Coturnix japonica: one gene and its partners. The protein of the gene in region 2 interacts with the protein of the main gene of each other region in a pairwise test. Links are inferred from orthologs where the notes say so. Each region holds a gene or a part of one and is shown on either strand. Other genes may lie near its edges.

What was found.
Region 1: the proteins of NDOR1 (region 2) and TCHP interact in binary tests that used the Homo sapiens proteins (3 or more experiments, as listed by UniProt). The two-hybrid records come from large-scale screens. The link is inferred for Coturnix japonica from reciprocal best matches to the Homo sapiens genes NDOR1 and TCHP.
Region 3: the proteins of NDOR1 (region 2) and CIAPIN1 interact in binary tests that used the Homo sapiens proteins (3 or more experiments, as listed by UniProt). The two-hybrid records come from large-scale screens. The link is inferred for Coturnix japonica from reciprocal best matches to the Homo sapiens genes NDOR1 and CIAPIN1.

The regions. Positions count from the first base shown.
Region 1 is NC_029530.1:5,974,349-5,980,520, reverse strand, and holds the start of TCHP (trichoplein keratin filament-binding protein), read right to left. Parts: upstream 4,134-6,172; 5' UTR 4,088-4,133; coding exon 3,725-4,087; intron 3,542-3,724; coding exon 3,485-3,541; intron 3,286-3,484; coding exon 3,217-3,285; intron 2,834-3,216; coding exon 2,660-2,833; intron 2,214-2,659; coding exon 2,101-2,213; intron 1,707-2,100; coding exon 1,640-1,706; intron 1,228-1,639; coding exon 1,055-1,227; intron 841-1,054; coding exon 759-840; intron 564-758; coding exon 378-563; intron 102-377; coding exon 1-101. Other genes in the region: GLTP (glycolipid transfer protein), read left to right, coding at 4,819-4,921, 5,399-5,460, 5,557-5,690, 5,813-5,963. UniProt on the Homo sapiens protein: Tumor suppressor which has the ability to inhibit cell growth and be pro-apoptotic during cell stress. Inhibits cell growth in bladder and prostate cancer cells by a down-regulation of HSPB1 by inhibiting its phosphorylation.
Region 2 is NC_029532.1:484,680-490,412, reverse strand, and holds part of NDOR1 (NADPH-dependent diflavin oxidoreductase 1), read right to left. Parts: intron 5,306-5,733; coding exon 5,204-5,305; intron 4,852-5,203; coding exon 4,645-4,851; intron 4,563-4,644; coding exon 4,441-4,562; intron 2,824-4,440; coding exon 2,603-2,823; intron 2,236-2,602; coding exon 2,128-2,235; intron 1,577-2,127; coding exon 1,462-1,576; intron 938-1,461; coding exon 791-937; intron 236-790; coding exon 117-235; intron 1-116. UniProt on the Homo sapiens protein: NADPH-dependent reductase which is a central component of the cytosolic iron-sulfur (Fe-S) protein assembly (CIA) machinery.
Region 3 is NC_029526.1:1,885,994-1,891,275, reverse strand, and holds the end of CIAPIN1 (anamorsin), read left to right. Parts: intron 1-356; coding exon 357-525; intron 526-712; coding exon 713-786; intron 787-1,072; coding exon 1,073-1,188; intron 1,189-1,705; coding exon 1,706-1,775; intron 1,776-2,327; coding exon 2,328-2,438; 3' UTR 2,439-3,516; downstream 3,517-5,282. UniProt on the Homo sapiens protein: Component of the cytosolic iron-sulfur (Fe-S) protein assembly (CIA) machinery required for the maturation of extramitochondrial Fe-S proteins.

The DNA of each region.
Region 1 (6,172 bases), on a different chromosome or scaffold from region 2:
TGCAGTAACTCCGCACAGCGCTGCTTGTTTAATCTCTCCTCCTCATCCTCCTCCCTCTGGCGTTCTCGCTCCGCTTGTTCTTTTAAGCGCTGTTCTGTCATCTGAGCAGAGACAAGATGAGGGCTGTTAGAGCCAGGTCAGAACACACAGGTGGTTGGAGGCAGAACCACAGCAGGTTTCTAACACAGTGAGACTGAACAGACACACTAGCTCAGCCAACAGGTTACAGAACAAAGCCAGTGGCTGTGCAGACACCTGAACGTAAACAGCCAGGGAGGCTGCTGGTGCATTTGGGACCAGAAACATCCCTAACCTGTGTTAGTATCCTGCAACAGCATTTTCAATACTCAGCTATCTCTCTGAAAAGCATGCTATACCTGAGCTTCCAAGTCCTGTCTGTGAGCTATCTTCCGTTCCTTCTCTTGCTCTTTCTCTCGCCTTGTCAGTTCCTTTGCCTCCTCAAGTTCTTTAATCAGTTGCTCTCGATACTTTATAGACTCTTCTTGGGCCTGTCTGTTTAACTCCATCTTCTCCTGGATCTGGCGCTGTCTGCCTGCGAGGACCTGTGTGAAATGAGATGATTAAGAAAGAAGATAAGGAAGAGACCAGACATGGAAGCAAACTGTTATCAGAAAAATATATCAGGAGAACAGAAAGACTCGAATACAGAAGGCTGTGACCCTCTGGGGGTTGGAAGGTCACAACTGGAACAACAGCTTTGTCAGACCAAGAGACACCTCATTAAAAGAAGTCATCACCTCATTCATCAGGCGATCTCTGGCCATCTTCTCCTTTGCCCATTGTTCTTCCCTCTTCTCCCACATTTTTCTAGCTTCTTCCCTGAAGGTGAAAGAAAGATTCCTTTCTGAGGTTACTCCTTACTTAAATAAACAGGCACATTTCTACAACAGCAAGGCCTACCAGGCACCTCTTTTTAGTGTCCACCTCTAGATGATCACCTATTTAACAAACAGAAATGAGCTCTGCCACATAGAGAAGAACATCCAGCACATACATTCCCTTTTGACGATGTATAACAGAGCTGCATACACACCTATAAATAACCTGTAGCTCTGCCTCCCTCTCCTTTTCTAACTGGAGCTGTTCCTCAATGACATTTCTCATCCAGGCAGCGTCTGCAACAGCTCGCTCTCGTTTTTCAGCCTTGTGGCGCTGATCCTCCTCTTCTTTCTCAAGGATGGCTAATAAGATTTGTCTGTCTGTTTCCTTGAGGGGAAAAAAAACCCCTAAAGATTAATAACCATCCAGCGGGCTTCCAGCCTGTGTACTTTAGTACTCTGTACAAATCATTGGTGACATAGTGTCAAGGGTGTCCTCAGAAAGACACTCTGACTGCCTGCTTCTCTCTGATCTTTTCACTCCAGCCCTGTTCATAAGCCAGAAGAGGCCTCCTAACTGCTTATCTGTAGGCACTGGAGGCAGACACATACATGAAACACAACAAGTTCCTTCAGCAGGCAGTATCTACTCAGGGGTATGATTTAGTGGAGGGTTTTTAGAGTCAGGGTACTGGTTAGGGTGCGGTTGGACTTGATGATCTTCAAGATCTCTTCCAACCTGGGTAATTCTATGATTCTATTATCTATATTGCACAAATCAGAAGGTATTTTCCTCTTACCAGCTCGTCCTGTACCTCCTGGGCTCGTCTCTTTAACTGGGCATCATATTGATGCAACAAAAAGCGACTGAAGGAAGAAAACAAAACAAATTCAGACCATCTCTAACGCCCTATTATATTGTATACCAGCATTCAGACCATCTCTAAAGCCCTATTATATTGTATACCAGCATTCAGACCATCTCTAAAGCCCTATTATATTGTATACCAGCATTCCAGAAAGTGCATTTACAACATTAAAATACACAGAGGCAACAGAGATACCTGCTACCTCTAACACGAGCAAAAAGTAGCAATGGCACCAATGCATTTATGCTCAGTAGCTGTTCTTGCACTTCCAACAAAACAAGCAAGCATCTGCTGCCCACCCCTGCTATCTAAAACATCTCCTCCTGCTGCAAGTACTATCATGGTCACAGGAAGAGATCCCATCCACCACTGCTTAGAGCTACATTGCATACCCAAGCTCAGTCTTCTTCCGGCGCTCTTCCATTTGCTTTCTTTCTTCTTCTAAGTTTCCCAGCTCCCACTGCTGCTTTAATAAATCCTCTTGCTCTTTCTTCAGCTTGGCTGCCTAACATTTTTGAAAAGGAGAAACAAACAATAACCAAGTGAGTGCTTCAGAGAGCTAAGACATCCCAGTGAGCCTCAGTACCAGCTTGTACCACACTCATAATCGTGGTAGATACTCCACACCATTTGCATCCTACTGACTCACAGCATAAGAGAGAAGGTGAGGAGCTTCAGCTGAAAAAGCTACTGCAACCTCTCACACTGCAGTGTTTCTACATCCAATACAGCACAGAAGGGTGCCCACATTTCAAGAGGTGCAAATGAAGCCTACGAGATGTCATTTAACATGCCTGTATTCACAGAGAGATCTGCATTACAAAGCACAGCTGACTTTGTTCCAAATCTAATCTAGGGGGAAATCTGGAAGGAAGAGGTCAAGTCAGCATTGCTGTGTTTCCAAGTGAAGCAATGAACTTTCTTCCTACACAAGGAGAAGCTGAAGGTTACCTCTGCCTCCCGTAATTTCAGTTCTTCTATCTGTTGAAGCAACAGCTCCCCTTGCTTCTTGTTCTCCAGCTGACGTTTCTCTTCCTCTTGTCTCATTCTTTCCTCAGCTTCCCTTCGTGCCATTTCACATTCATTTTCAAGAAGCTTTCTCTCTCCTCGTTCCGTTGCTTGTTGCTTATTGAGCCAAAAGAAAGCATTGCATTTCAGGTTAGACTAAACTCAAAGGAACAGCCTGTGGTTCAGGAGATGCTCAAATCAGCTTCCAGGAAGCTGACACCTATTTGAAGGACACAGGATAAGATGTGCTAGGGAAGGAAATGAGAAAATGAGACTAAATAGATCTGTTCAGCAGATAACATTGGATTTTCTAGGAGATGAGATACTTCCCATCAACTCCAAGCATCCTGCAGACACCAGAACCTCGCACCACTATGGGAACAAGCAAGGCCAACTCAGTCACTATATAGTACAAAAGAAAACAAATAGCCAGCTCCTAGTCCAGGTAGTACAGGAATACCAGCTGCTTACAGCCCACATTTCATGCAGCTCCAACATACCTGCTGCTTCTGCTTCAGCTGCTCACCCCAGGACTCCACCACGTTCTTCTTGTGTAGCTCTGACTCCACCTGCAGAGAGTCAGCGCTGTCAGAGCCTTTTTCTATTGCCAGCACCTGCAGACACCCACAGTCAGGGGATGGTGCTGTGAGCACTGATGGAGCTGTGGGTGTCCCTGAGCACTGCAGGCAGTGGGAACAGATGGACTTTGGGATAAAGCACCCTTGGGATAAAGCACCCTTGTGGGGATCCCGTGCCGTGACTCCTCACCTCCCTCAGCTCCTCGCTGTTCTGTTTCCATCTCTCCCGCAGCAGCTTCTCGGCGACCTAAGCACACACAGCAGTGTCAGTATATGGGTCCCACACAGCAGTGTCAGTATATGGGTCCCACACAGCAGTGTCAGTATATGGGACACACACAGCAGTGTCAGTATATGGGTCCCACACAGCAGTGTCAGTATATGGGTCCCACACGGCCCAGCTCAGCCCCATCCCCCCCATATCTCTCACCTGCCTCCTTCTCTCCTCTCGTGCCGCCCTCAGCTCCTCACAGCGCTTCCTCATCCCTCCATGTTCCTCCATCCCGCCGGGCTCCGCTCGTATCTCGGCCTGTATTTCAGCCTCCAGCGCGTCCCGCTCAGCGCCCAGCATCTCCCTCAGTCTCTCCCTGCGCTTCCTCATCCCTTCCTCCTCACCCCGCCCCGTGCTCGTGCCGCCCGCATTTTGCGGCTCGCTCCAACGGGCCTGAGCGGAGCAGGAGAACGCGGCGAGCTGGAAGGAGCGGTTGTACGTGTCCCATTGCAGCCGGTTCTTCGCCTCCCTCTCCCGCTGCCGCTCCAGGGCCCGGCCCAGCGCCGGCCGCCACTGCGCCATCACTAGGCCCTAATGTAGGCCGCGAGGGTCACCATGGCAACGGGTACGGGGAGCGCCGAGGGACAAAAAGCATCGGGGTGAACGAATTGGCCTCGCGGGTCGGGATGAGGCCGCAATACATGAGCTGCAGTGCTTTAAGTATTAATGGAGCTGTGAATATTTCAGCACGGTGGAAGGTTTGTGTTTCCTGGCCCTGAGCACAGCTGGGCGCTGTCAGGAGTCGCCCCACGCCTCATTCAGCGCATCCATAGCGCCCATAGGTGTCCGGCTGTATGGAGCTGTAACGGGATGCGGACGGGCCTCGTGCTCAGCCCGGTTCGGCTCATTGAGCTCCGTCCATCGGGACACCGGCTGAATCATTCACTGCCACCCGATCGCAGCGCCCGCAGTGAGCCCGGTGGGACGGCTGTGATTGCACCATAGGCACTGGGTGCTCCATAGGCACAGCGGACACCCCCCACCCCATCGGTTCGGGCTGGGGGTCCCGGTCCGGTCCCGGTCGATACCGGGATGGGCGCACACCGTAAGCCCCGCCCACATTGAGACAAGCCCCGCCCACCTCTACCATAAGCCCCGCCTACTCACCCGGACAAGTCCCGCCCTCTCATTCCTATTGGCCGCCTCTCGGTGGGCCGTGCTCACCCATTGGTTGGCTTCATTGATGGGCGTGTCTCGGCGTGGCGCGCTACCGGGTCGGTGCCGGGTCGGTTCGGTCCGTGCCGGGTCGGTTCATGGCGCTGCTATTAGAGCACGAGTTCCGGCCGCTGCCGGCGGACAAACAGATCGAGACGCTGCCGTTCCTGGAGGCCGTGTCCCACCTGCCGCCATTCTTCGGTAAGAGCTGGGCCAGGGGCTGTGGAACCTGCCGGACCGGGACCGGACCGAACCGGGACGCCGCCACCCGCGGGCACGGAACGCTCAGCAACACCAGCCCCGTCCGGTCCCGGGATCCCATTATAGGGTCCCACACCCCCCCAAGCTTCCACCCCCGCCCCGGTTCCGGTCCCGGTCCCGGTCCGCACCCCCCGGTCCCGCCCCCGGTCCCGCCCCAGTTGCGTCAGGGCCGGGTGTGGCGGCTCGTCCCGTCCGACCCGCTGAGCGACAGCGTTAGGAAACGGCCCGACCCAACCCCCGGGGTGTACAGGGATGGAACGGGGCCGAACGGGACAGAACGGGATAGAACGGGATAGAATGGGGCAGAACGGGACAGAACGGGGCCGAACCTCCGCTCCATACAATGCGCCATTGTACGGAGCCATACGGGGACAGCCGGGCACGGGGCGAAGCCATTGTGACCCCCTGTCCCCGCAGATTGCCTGGGGACACCCATCGTGTACTCACCCGTCAAAGCCGACCTGGCTGGGAACATCAAGGTATGAGGTTGTGGGGGGGGTCACCACCCCATGTACAGCACTGCAGGACCCGGCTGTGGGTGCCCACCTTGACCCCAAACCTCTGTACCCTTATAGAAGATCCGGGCTGTTTATGAGTCCAACCCCAGCAAGTTCAAAACGCTGCAGAACATCCTGGAGGTGGAGAAGGAAATGCACGGTGCTGCATGGCCTAAGACCGGAGCCACGCTGGCGCTGATGTGGCTGAAGAGGTGATTGATTGGGTTGTTATATCGCCCCTAATGTGGGGCTGGGGGTCGTGTAGGGCTCAGGGTCAGAGTGTCACCCCACAGCGGGTTTGGGGTCACGGTACCAGCCTCCTTCTCCCTGGCAGGGGCCTGAAGTTCATGCTGGTGCTGCTGCAGAGCATCTCCGATGGCGAGCGGGATGAGGAGCATCCCAACCTCATCCGTGTCAATGCCATGAAAGCCTATGAGATTGCCCTCAAGAAATACCACGGCTGGATGCTGCAGAAGCTTTTCATGGTGAGAGCCGGGGCAGGGGGTCATAGAACCATTAAGGTTGGGAAGGACCTCTGAGATGAGCCATCCTCTCCATGCCATGTCTCTAAGGTGCCATAAGCTGCTGCTCATGGGGTCACCCCGCTGTGGGGTGGGCAGTGGGACATGGGGGTCCCATTGGCTTTTGGGCATCCCCACAGCCAAGGCTCAGCTCTGCTCTCACCCCATCCCAC
Region 2 (5,733 bases):
GTGATTGCCATGCCACCCCACCAGGTCCTTCATAGGCACAGGGACAAAAGCCCCAGCAGGCTCCCATCAGCACTGCCAAGATGCTTCTTGTACAACCTGCTCCTCCAAGAACTAACCTGGTCCCTGGAGAAGGCTGTGAAAAGCATCAGAAAGCCCTTTGTCACCAGCTCTTCCCACTCTGCCTGGCAGTAGAAGTCCTTGGATTTCTGGCGGCAGCCAAAGAACAAGCAGTTCCCTGTGGAGAGCAGATCAGAAGGGCTGTGCTGGGTAGACCAAATGCCCTGCGAGGGCCATCAGTACCCATGCAACTCAAGAACTGTGTGTCAATGCACATGACCTGTGACAACCAGAGGCTGGAAATCTGGGGCGTGGTGGGCAAGTAGGGCATGATGAGCCCTTGCAGGGCTGCCAGCTCCCTGACATGAGCTTATTAGCAGCCTTCTGCAGAGATGCACAAGTGGGCCAGGGCAATGACAAGGGCAGAGGGAAAACTGCTTGTGCATTAGCAGAAAATCTCAGCAAACCAACCCCACTTACAGAGAACCAAGAAAGAGGAATTTCAGAGCCCTGCCCTGCCCCAAGAAGCAGCCTGACAGCCCAGCCTGTGAATAACCACATAGTTTGCACACATCAGGCTCTCTCTGGTGCTGACCTCCCTCAGAGCCCAGCTTGCTTCCAACTACAGTAAAGCTCAAGCTTGTCCAAGCCCACAGGAGCACCCAGTTCCTCATTCCCATCTGCTGAACATAGACTTGCCAGCACCAAGGTGCACCCCACATCCACCCCTCACCCTTCTGTCCTTGTGCCACTCGCTCCTGTACAGCTGCTCGGAAAGGTGCCACCCCTGTGCCAGGGCCAATCATGATCACAGGAGTGCCAGGTTCAGCTGGGAACTTCATTCCTCCTTTCTTCACCCAAAGAGGTACCCGGACATCACCTGCAAAGCGAACAGAATGGTTAGCATCAGTTCAACATCACTGCACCCACAATACGGGGTACAGCATCAAACCCTTCCTTCCACAATGCTCCAGAGATATGGACTGTGCCTGGCTGACCACCACCCAGTATCACAGTGTCACATGCACATTGAATGCATGAAAAGACCTTCAGCTATCTCAAGACTGTCTCTGTAAGGACCTGAGTGAATCCCAGGGCAAAGAAAGAGTCCCCCAGCAAAGAGGCTGCAGGACAGCCTCTTCCTCATACAGCATATGCAAGGGAAGGCAACAGTGGGGGCAAGTAGAGAGAGCTACCTGGCTGTCCTGTAAGGAGAGCTAAGTTTGACTCCTCTGGTGTTAAATCACCATCTAGGTACTGTGAGAAGAGCCAAACCTGCCCTGGAGTCAGAGCAATCACCTACCACTCTGCAGCACGGAAATCCCATGAGCCTGTCGCATTTGCAGAAGGACGCAGCTTATGAGGTTTTATAGTGTGGTCCTCACATAGTCCAAGTAAAGTTACCTTGCTCTGGGTTGAGAGATGCCAACCACGTAGAGCAGAGACCACGGCGAGGCTTGCTGAGCCGTGTCTTGTACTGCACTACTGCCACGAGGATCTGGATCCGGCCAGGGTGAGCCTGTGTGCAGATAGGAGCCATGAGAACCAAGATACCTAGCACAGTTCACTGCCTCCACCAGGAACAGCTCATACCAGGGCAACACTCATCCCAGCTTGAAACAGCTGCTCAGACACAGTACAGAGCAGGGTTTTCCTATTGCAGCACAGCCATAGGAATGCTCTGTGCAGTTGGCAATGGTGACAGAGACAGTTCAAGCCAAGAGCCCTCCATGGAAAGCAAATGCCATCAGTGCTTGGGCTGACATCTGCCAAGACACATGGCTGGATCCCACCGCCACCTCCTGGCAGCAGCAGGAAGCAGAAGTACACCCTTCCCACCTGCCAACCTCCATAGTGTCACATCCCAGTGTTCCCTGTGACAGCAGAGCCTGTACTAAGCAAGCCCCAACACCTGCAAACACCTTAACCTGCAGTGGGGGTTCGGGTGGGCTGTGGACATTCACAGGGTCAGGCAGTGCAGCCTGAATACCTGTGCTGTGCACAGCACCAGCAGTGCCCTGGCACTCAATTCAGTGCCTGACATGAGGCTGAGAAAGGCTGAGATCTTACCAGCATGGAGGAAGCGATGGAGAAGGCGCGGGGTCTGATGCGAGGGATGAGGTCCAGCAGGTATTCAGGTGGAATGGCAGATGTGGTGTGAGGGAAATCCCAGAGCGCCTGCAAAGCCACGGAGAGCCAAGCTGGTGCAGCTCAGAAGGCAGCCTGCCTGCTTTTCTGAGGCAGCAAAAGTTGTTCTGTAACACTGCCACCCTCACCCAAAGCCCCACAGCAGGGATTCTCTGAGCACCAATCTCCCTGTCTCACTGCCCTACCCTTGTCCCCAGGTTGCAACACAGAATCCACAACAGAGCCCAAGAATTTGGAGCAGGTCTTAGCCTGCTTATTCCAAGGACACTTGAGAAAAAAGTGAATTAAATTCCTCAGTCATTGAATTACTGCTCATCATCTGTCTCCTCTGCCCTGGCTGCTTTATTTCCATGGCAAAGTCCTCAAGGATGGATCTGCTGTGCTCCCCCAGGCCAACCTCAAGGGTGGTCCTGCGAGGCCGGTTGCAGTAGTTGTACAGCTCTTCCTGGCCCTGTGCAGAGCTGAACTCCTGCAGCTTCTCCCGCTCCAGCTCATTTGTAGAGAAGTGGGACAAGAGCTCAAAGAAGGAGCGCCGTGGCACGCAGGAGATGTCCAGGTAGTGGGTGACCAGGTGTCGGATGGTGCAGGGCTGCAGCAAATGGGCAGGGAGGGCTGTGCCTGTAAGAGAGGCACCAGAGAGAGCTCAGAGCCAGCTCCGGCACTTCCCAGCCCTGCTGCATGAGGGCACTCACACGCTACAGGAAGGTCTAATGGAGCTGACTTTAGCCACCATCATTGCCCCCACTCCATCCTGCTCTTCCCAGCTTGCTTTGCCAGCTCACATGCTTGCAACAGAGAACATCAGTGGTTCTGAGCACTCCCTTGTCCTTGTCTCCTCCTTCTCTTACAGGGGTGCAAGAAGCAGCTTCAATTTCTCTGGGGTTTGCTTCCCAGGCCCAAATCCCAGCACTGACAGAGAGTCAAGAGATAATGGGGGGAAGGCAAGACACATGGTCTTGAAGTAGCAATTACTGGCTAAAAAGTAAGGGTCTACTGCAACCTCTGTGGGTACTCTGAACATCTCTGCAACAGCAGGTGGGGTAAAAGGAAAGATGAAAAGAGTTCCAGCCATTGCTACCTAAATAAAGGAAATTGCTCTGCAAAATCTGGCATCTGACCTATCGAGCCAAACTGGTACTGAAGTGTTTCCCAGCACAACAGACTACTGAGAGGACAGCGATGCTCACATGCTGACCTGCAAGTGCACCAACCAGGATCTGTGATTCTTCACGAGAGGCAGACCCCTGCAGGTGGGCTGAAATGCCAGGGACCAACACTAGGACATATCAGGATCAAGAGTGCTCAGAAATGGCAGGGATGGAGTTCTGGCGTCTTGGAGACAGAACACTTGTTCCCTGCCATGGTAGCTTGGACACTTCCTAGGCCACAGAAGCCCATTAGAGGGTCCTCACAGCACTGTCTAGCTTCAGGTGGCATCAAGCAGAGGGGCTGGCAATTGCTCTGCATCCTTTTTAAGGTCCAGGACTTCTCCCTTCCTGCTGCTGACCACACCAGGCAGGCTGTGCTCTCCCTGTATGGGTAAAAAGACTGTGATGCTGAAGATGTCTACTGGGTTTTTTCACCTTTGGAGGCAGTTGGGAAAGAAAGGAGCAAACCAAAACACAATTTAAAGCACAAAGGAAGGTCTTGGGGTGATGTTTTCCAATAGATCTTATATTGACTTCCTGCCATCTTCAGTCCCTCAGACCAGGGAAGTGATGGGAGAGGAAAGAAAAGAAACCTTTCCTGGCGCCATGCAGACCACAGAGCCACAGCAATGCCTGGTGAGTGGGTGCCTCCATGAGGACTTCCTGGTTGTTGGTACCACTGTATGGACAAGCACCTCCATCAAGACTCTGGGGTACAGGCAGAGCCAGGAAACCTGCGAGCCCCAGCAAAGAATCATAGGCATGGATGGGGGCAGAAGTGAGAGCAACTTGACTTGGGCCTTGGGCTGGTGAGTGTGCAGGATCTTTCGTGCTCTGAGCTGCTGAAGACATAAGGCAGCACTGGTATCCCTGTGTCCCTCCCATGAGCCATGTCAGCCCTAATGATGGACCTATATGCATAGAGAGTTGGGAGAGAAGGAGAGCCCCAGCACTGCAAGGCAGGCAGATGTTCTGTATCAGCCAGCCACTCTCAAATCTGTATTTCCTTACTTACTGGATCTAAAGCAAAGGAAAAACAGATCTCCAGGCCTGACAGAGAGGTAAAGGAGTAGCCAGCAGCACCTACCAGGCTCTGTGGGCTTCAGCAAAAAGTATTTGTCTGGATCCAGGCGAAGGAGCTGGCAGAACTGTTGCACATCTTCAGGGCAGTTCTGGGGCTGGATCATCACCACGTCTCCTGCGCTGAACCTGCAAATACAGCAGGACCTGCTGAGCATGGCCATCTGATCTCACACAAGAAAAAGTACGAGGGAGCCAGAAAAACACTCACGTGATCCCTGATCCTGTGACATCAAACTCGATGAGCCGGACATCCTGGAAATGGGATTCGGCTGTGACACGCTGGTTGGACACCATCCGGGCAGCAAAGGGATGTAGCTCAGAAGGAGGAGCCCTGTGTGGTGTTGGCTGCAAGAGGCTGCTGTCAGAGTGCAGGGAATCCTCAGCCAGGTAGTGCATGGTGTATCTAGGGGGCAGACTGTGGGAATAATAGCAATGCAGTCAGTGCATCTCCATTCCACAGCTCATCCACTGCCTTAGCTTTACAGGGAGGCAGGGACACACTGAAGTTTCCTTCAACATCCATCACCCATGATCCCTGCCCCTTGGAGCTGTAAGACATCACAATGCAGCAGTACTGTCAGGAGATCTTAAAAGAGGTTGGAGCAAGCAGAGCAAAGTAAGCCTGTCTAGTGGGAGCAGTTAGGTCTTAGGGATGCTTGGGACATCAGTAGTTTTGTGGGGAGGTGTCCTGGCCTCCACCCTAGAAGCAGAGAACAGCCACAGAAGACATTTCACACCAGCCATTTCCAGCAAGCCTCTACACTCACCATACATCAGGACTGATGACCTCAAGGCCAGGAGGGAGAGGATACAGGGCAAGGATCTTGTCCCATAAAGCTAGGAGCCATGGATCAACCACTGCATCTGGCCTGCAAGTGAGACACTGAGGCTGCAACAGAGTTCTGCCTCCCTCACCACCCTTCCAAGCCCCAGCAATGTTACCTCTACCATACACACTACTGTCAGAGCTAGGGAGGCTGCAGTGCCATGGACAACTGTGGCTTTGCCCCCCTTGGTGGGTCTGACATTTCTTGGCCGATGATGGACCTGTCCTGGGGCACAATCTCTGATGCCCTTTTGCAGCACAGGCACTCACCCCTTGCAGTTCTACAAGACCTAGGCATACGCTGGGGGTCATGGGATACCCCGGTGAAACAAATGACCTCAGCCTTGGCAAAGGAGAGCCCTGAGCAGAGACCAGCGTGCTCACACAGAGCAGGAGGCCACTGGCCATGTCTGGAGTGTGGGAGCAGTAGTGCAACACAGCCCCCCACCCCATCACCCCTTCATGAGGCTC
Region 3 (5,282 bases), on a different chromosome or scaffold from region 2:
TCAGAACTCTCTCCTGCTCTTACCTAAAAGTAGACGAGGACTTGATGGACAGCAAACTGTTTAGCTGCCCTCGTGCACTGTGAATGTTCATGGATGCAGTCTGCCAGTCTTTTCTTACTGCAAATGTGGTGTTATTCTGTAGGGTTGAAGATAGGAGGGAGCCTGTCTTCTGTCATGCCTGGTGGTTCACACCACACTGATCAGCCCTTTGTGCTGCACTGCAGCTGGGACTGACTCCTCCTCTGTTCTGAGGGATAAGCCAGACACAACTGATTATCTTTGTTCACAGGAGTAGTGGATGGAGCATTGAAATAAGGTGGCTCAGTGTGAGACTAACTGAAGATCTTGCATTCCAGCTGCAAAAGGAACCTCTGACTGCAGAGGAGGCCCAGTCAGTCCGAGAACATTTGGGCTACCAAGGCAATGACCTTCTCATTGTTCAGATAGAAGGCAGGAAACCCAATTTTGAAGTGGGATCTTCAAGTCAACTCAAACTATCCTTTGCCAAGAAAACAAGTCCTTCAGGTAAAGCATGGTTTATGCTGTATGTAGGAATTGCCCTCCTCTGAAGTGACCAGCATCCCTGTGGTAGGGAGTGCTGCATAAATACCTGTGAAGTGATGCTTTCTAAAGTTGTTTGAGCTCTGCTTGCTGGAAATAGATGGAGCAGTGACTGTGGTACCTACTGTTTCTTATTTTGTTTTGGATGCAGGAAAACCCTCAGTGGACCCAGCTACTGCTAAGCTATGGACACTGTCTGCCAATGATATGAATGACGAAGAGATGGTATCCATTTTTATTTGTGAGACTTGGCTGTCATTCCTTCTCTCTTCTTTTCTACTCTAACTAGTTTCAGTCATTCCTCTTGGGAAGCTTTACAACTTAAGAAGTAGAAAAGCATCCCCAGGGCAAAATTTCTCAGGTGCTGTTTGAGGTGTTGGGTGCCCACAGGTGTGGTGAGAGTTGAGGGAAAGGTATTGTTGAGAGGGAGTGTTTCTGTGCATGTAACAGCAATGTCATTCCCTACTAACGAGTCTGTCTGTTGTGTGTTTTCTTCCATGGTTTATTCCAGGATCTTTTGGACTCTGATGAACTACTGGATTCAGAGGATTTGAAAAAGCCAGATCCAGCCTCTCTCAGAGCTCCATCCTGCAAAGAAAAGGGCAAAAAGAAAGCCTGCAAGAACTGGTCAGTGTTGAGATTAGCATGTCCGTGTACCTCTTAGCTCATAGCAATGAAACCTTAGAGGTGGATGTTTTTGAAATAGATTGTGGGAAAGCATCATTCACTTGGTTCGTGTCCTTCCCTTATCTTGGCTATTTGAATGCAAATCCAAACACAGTGAGAACTGGCTATCTGTGCCAGAACTGCTGCAAACTGCCATGGTGGTATGAGCAGCAGCCTTCTCAGAGGTAGCTGCACAGTTTGTGCAGCCTTCACTTGAATCCTGTTCCCACTGCTTTTAAGGAGGAATGGTTTACGTGGCAAATTGCTTTAGAGTCACTTGCTTCAGCTGGAGGAGTGTGCTTCAATACTTGATTTGCAAACTGGTATTGGAGAACAAAGTGCAGAGCATGAGAGTCCCAGGGCCAGCTGTGTTGTGTGACTGAGTGAGGGCTTGTTGCATGAGAGCAGTTTTGGAATGAAGATTATAACTCATAGCTTTTAATCAGAACGATGCAAGTGACTTCTTTGTTTTCTACAGCACATGTGGCCTGGCTGAAGAGCTGGAACAGGAGAAGAAGAGCTCGCAGCCCAAATCTGCCTGTGGAAATGTAAATAGTTGTTATGTTTGTGTGTTGTGGTTTGCAGGGGTGCAGTTTGTGTCTGAGAACCGACTGCAGCAGTCCTACTGCTTACTTTAAAAGCTTACTGCTTTTCAAATACTGCCTGCTTTGCAGAGCTTCTGGCTTTACCATCTCATCTCTTAGAACAGCCCACATGCTCTGCACTAGTTTGCTGTGTGCCGACAGTGCTAGTGCCACCTTGACATGAGTCAGAGTAGACAGTGACACTGTGCTTCACTTGCTCTGTGGGGAAGGTCACCTTATGGGAGTACAGTTAGGGAGCTGCCAAAGCCAGCACACAGCAGAGCTGCCCTTCTGCAGAGCTGGGCTGGAAACTTGGTTCCTTTGTGTGGGTGCAGTGCCCTGCACCAGCTCCATTACCTGCTAAACAAGCATGTGCCCAGAGGAGGTGGAAGGGAAGTGCTTTCTGTGCTGGCATATGCTGAGGAGCAGGTCATTTCTCTAGGTGGGAAAAGCATTTAATAGGAAGAGAGAACTGAGAGTTGCCATGATAAGAAGTGTTTTTCTGTCTCTTGGCAGTGCTACCTGGGGGATGCATTCCGCTGTGCCAGTTGCCCTTACCTGGGGATGCCTGCCTTCAAGCCTGGAGAGAAGATCCTGCTGAAAGAGAACCAGCTGCACGATGCCTAAGAAAGTCATCTCTGAATGTCCTGAAAGGGACCTCTCTGCTTTTCCATCAGCCTGAGATGCAGAGGTTCTTCTTACAGTTCTCCTCATCTGCTCAAATTCCTGCTCTCCAGCCAATACTCGTGGGGAGGGACACTGTGGGGTGGGGAGTGACACTGCTGTGAGCTCATCACATGTAATCAACTTTGAGCTTAGTGATAATCAGTGGTGGCCAGTGGTCTTGTATGTATTACACTTCTTAATGCTAAGCCTCATAGCTGCCTTCACTCAATACTGAGACGCTGGCCATCCCAGCCTGTCCCACCAGCAGAGGGAAGTGGAATTGTGTCAGACTGACCTTGTGTGCGGTGGTAAGAGCCTCACCAGTGCTTCCCCAAGCCCACATTGCTCCTTACCCTTATTTTACATTGTGTTAACAGCTGTGGCTCAGCCCTCAGAGTAACATTGGGCTCCTTCTATTTTGGAAGTCTGAACCTGAAATGCTTTACTAGGTGAGGGTTACTCAGCAGCTCCTATTGCAGGTCAGGAGCAGCCAGTACTCTTTGCTGTGTACTCCTTGGAAATTCATCAGGTGGGTCAGAGTTTACCATATGTTTTGAGGCTGTCACCCCCCCCCCCTCCATCACCTGTTTTGAATGACAAAGATTCATTCCCACTGAGGTAGATATCTGCTGCCCTTAAGGCAGGGAGAAAATTAACCTTGTCCTCCCCCATCTCTGACCGACAAAAACACAAGGGCAGTCTGAGACCCATCCCCTCTCTTGCTGGTTATCAAGTGAGTTACCCACAGTGTCCAATACAGAACATAGCAATAACTTAATTTCTGGTTGATACTGACGACTCTGTATTTATTTGTGTTCTTAATGCTACTGAAGCATCCTTGCAGGTGCAGGATGAGGGAGCTGCTGGTGCTCTGTGCCAGGCTTGCTTCTCACCCAGGGAAGGAGAGGAGGAAAACACAACGTGCTCTGCAGGACATGACTTCTTGTTGTTGTCCTTCCTCAGTTGCGCAATAAACTCACGTAGGGATCTGGGATGAAAAGCTGTTCTGTTCTTAAAATAAATGTGACCAATAATCAAGCATTTGTGTTAGAACTGGTATTGGTGGCATTTTACACAGGTGTCTCTCCTTTTACTTGGTTTCTGCTTGAGGCCATTAGGGACAATGTTGTAAGAGATGGGCCCCCTCAAATGTCTCCTGCAGCAGTGGGAGCGCTGCGTGCCTTCCAAACAGGGAGCTGAGTTCATCAATGATAAAGGCAGGCCTTAAAGTGAGCTCTGCTTTCCTTTCAGGGGCAAATAAGATAAGATCCAGAGGAGGTGGTGGAGGCTTTTGTTTCACCATGATTCACAGCGCTGGAATTTAAACAAGCTGGAAACACTTTCAGATACTGCAGAGTTCAGTTAATGATGGTTAAGACTGTATAATCTTGTTCTCTTCAGACAGCATTGCTGTCTGAGAGGCCCTCAGATGGGGGCAGACTCTGGCAGTGGGATATCTGGTGGGACTCTACTGCCATCATGCTGGCTTTGAGGAGTATTCATCCTTTTAGTCCCCTTCCTGGATAGTGGCCATGGTAGGGACAGGTTGGTGCTTGGATGATCTGAATGGTCTTTTCCAGCCTTGATTCTAGGCTGCTCTGCAGGTGGAAGGGATGTGCTGCAGTGTTGGGGCTCAGCAGGTCAGGTTGATAGATGGAATCATCGATCCTGAGGCTCTTTTCCAATCTAAATCAGTTTGATTCTATGAATCAATGGCTTTCTTGGTCTGAGCCATTTTCCTCCCCATCCTCTTCCTCTCCTGACCCTTTTACTGCCTCCTCTTATCATTTCACCACTGCTTCCCTCCATCTTTCCGTTGTTCTTCCCAAAACTCTCCTGCTTTCCCTCCTCTTTGCCAACCACCCATCCCTCAGGAGCAATCCTGCTTCTTGGTTTGCTTTGCTGTTCATTATTTCCCTTTGCCCTGCCCAGGTTTCTCCCCTGGGATCCACTCCTCCATCCCATATGGGTTCCCATTGCCATTTCCACTCTTGGACATGGAGAGAGATCCTTTTCTCAGCATGCAGTGAGCAAGGTGCTGTGTTTATTATCACCCCACGTTCACGTAGGCATTGATGCCTGTGTTGTGTCCAGTCTGATGACATCTTTCTGAGAACTTGAAATTCTGAGGCTCAGTTCCGGATTTTAACCCCCATAATCTACAAAGGCAGATCCCCACATTTCCTGCTTGCTCTTGCCAAAGCCCTTGAGATTTCAAGAGATTATCTCAGCCAGTTCCTCATGTTGTCACGGTAAGTAACTCCACGTCTTGCTTGCTTCTTTATTGGGGTTCTCCCTGGTTTTGGCTTGCTCCTGTGTGCCCCTTCTGTGCCTGACCCCACCACACTCAGCTGTGAGATAGAGTTCTGAATTCTGAATGCCTTTGCTGTCACATCGTTGTGGTTTTTCCTCCTGGTGAAGCAACGGGCTGAGCCTCCTCTGCCTTCCTCTGGTATTTGATGCAGTTGCACAAGCAGAGAACCTTCTGCAGTCCTCGATTTTAACTCCCAGGGTACTAAGATGTCATTGCAGGACCTCAGTTATTTTGCAATGAGAAGGGTGAGCTGATGGGTTACAACACATGGGGTTCCATCAGGCTGGTCACTGGTGGGGTTCCTCAGAGCTCCATTTTAGGGCTAGTTCTCTTTTTGTGTATTTAAAGTCACCTCAGCCTGCTGCCAATGCTCCTAATGCAGGATACTATGGGCCTTGTTGGCAGCTGGGGCACATTGCTTGTGGCCAACTCGGTGCCCAGCAGGACAGCTTGTTGCTTGTGTCAGCTTGATGGATGCTGTGCTGGGACAA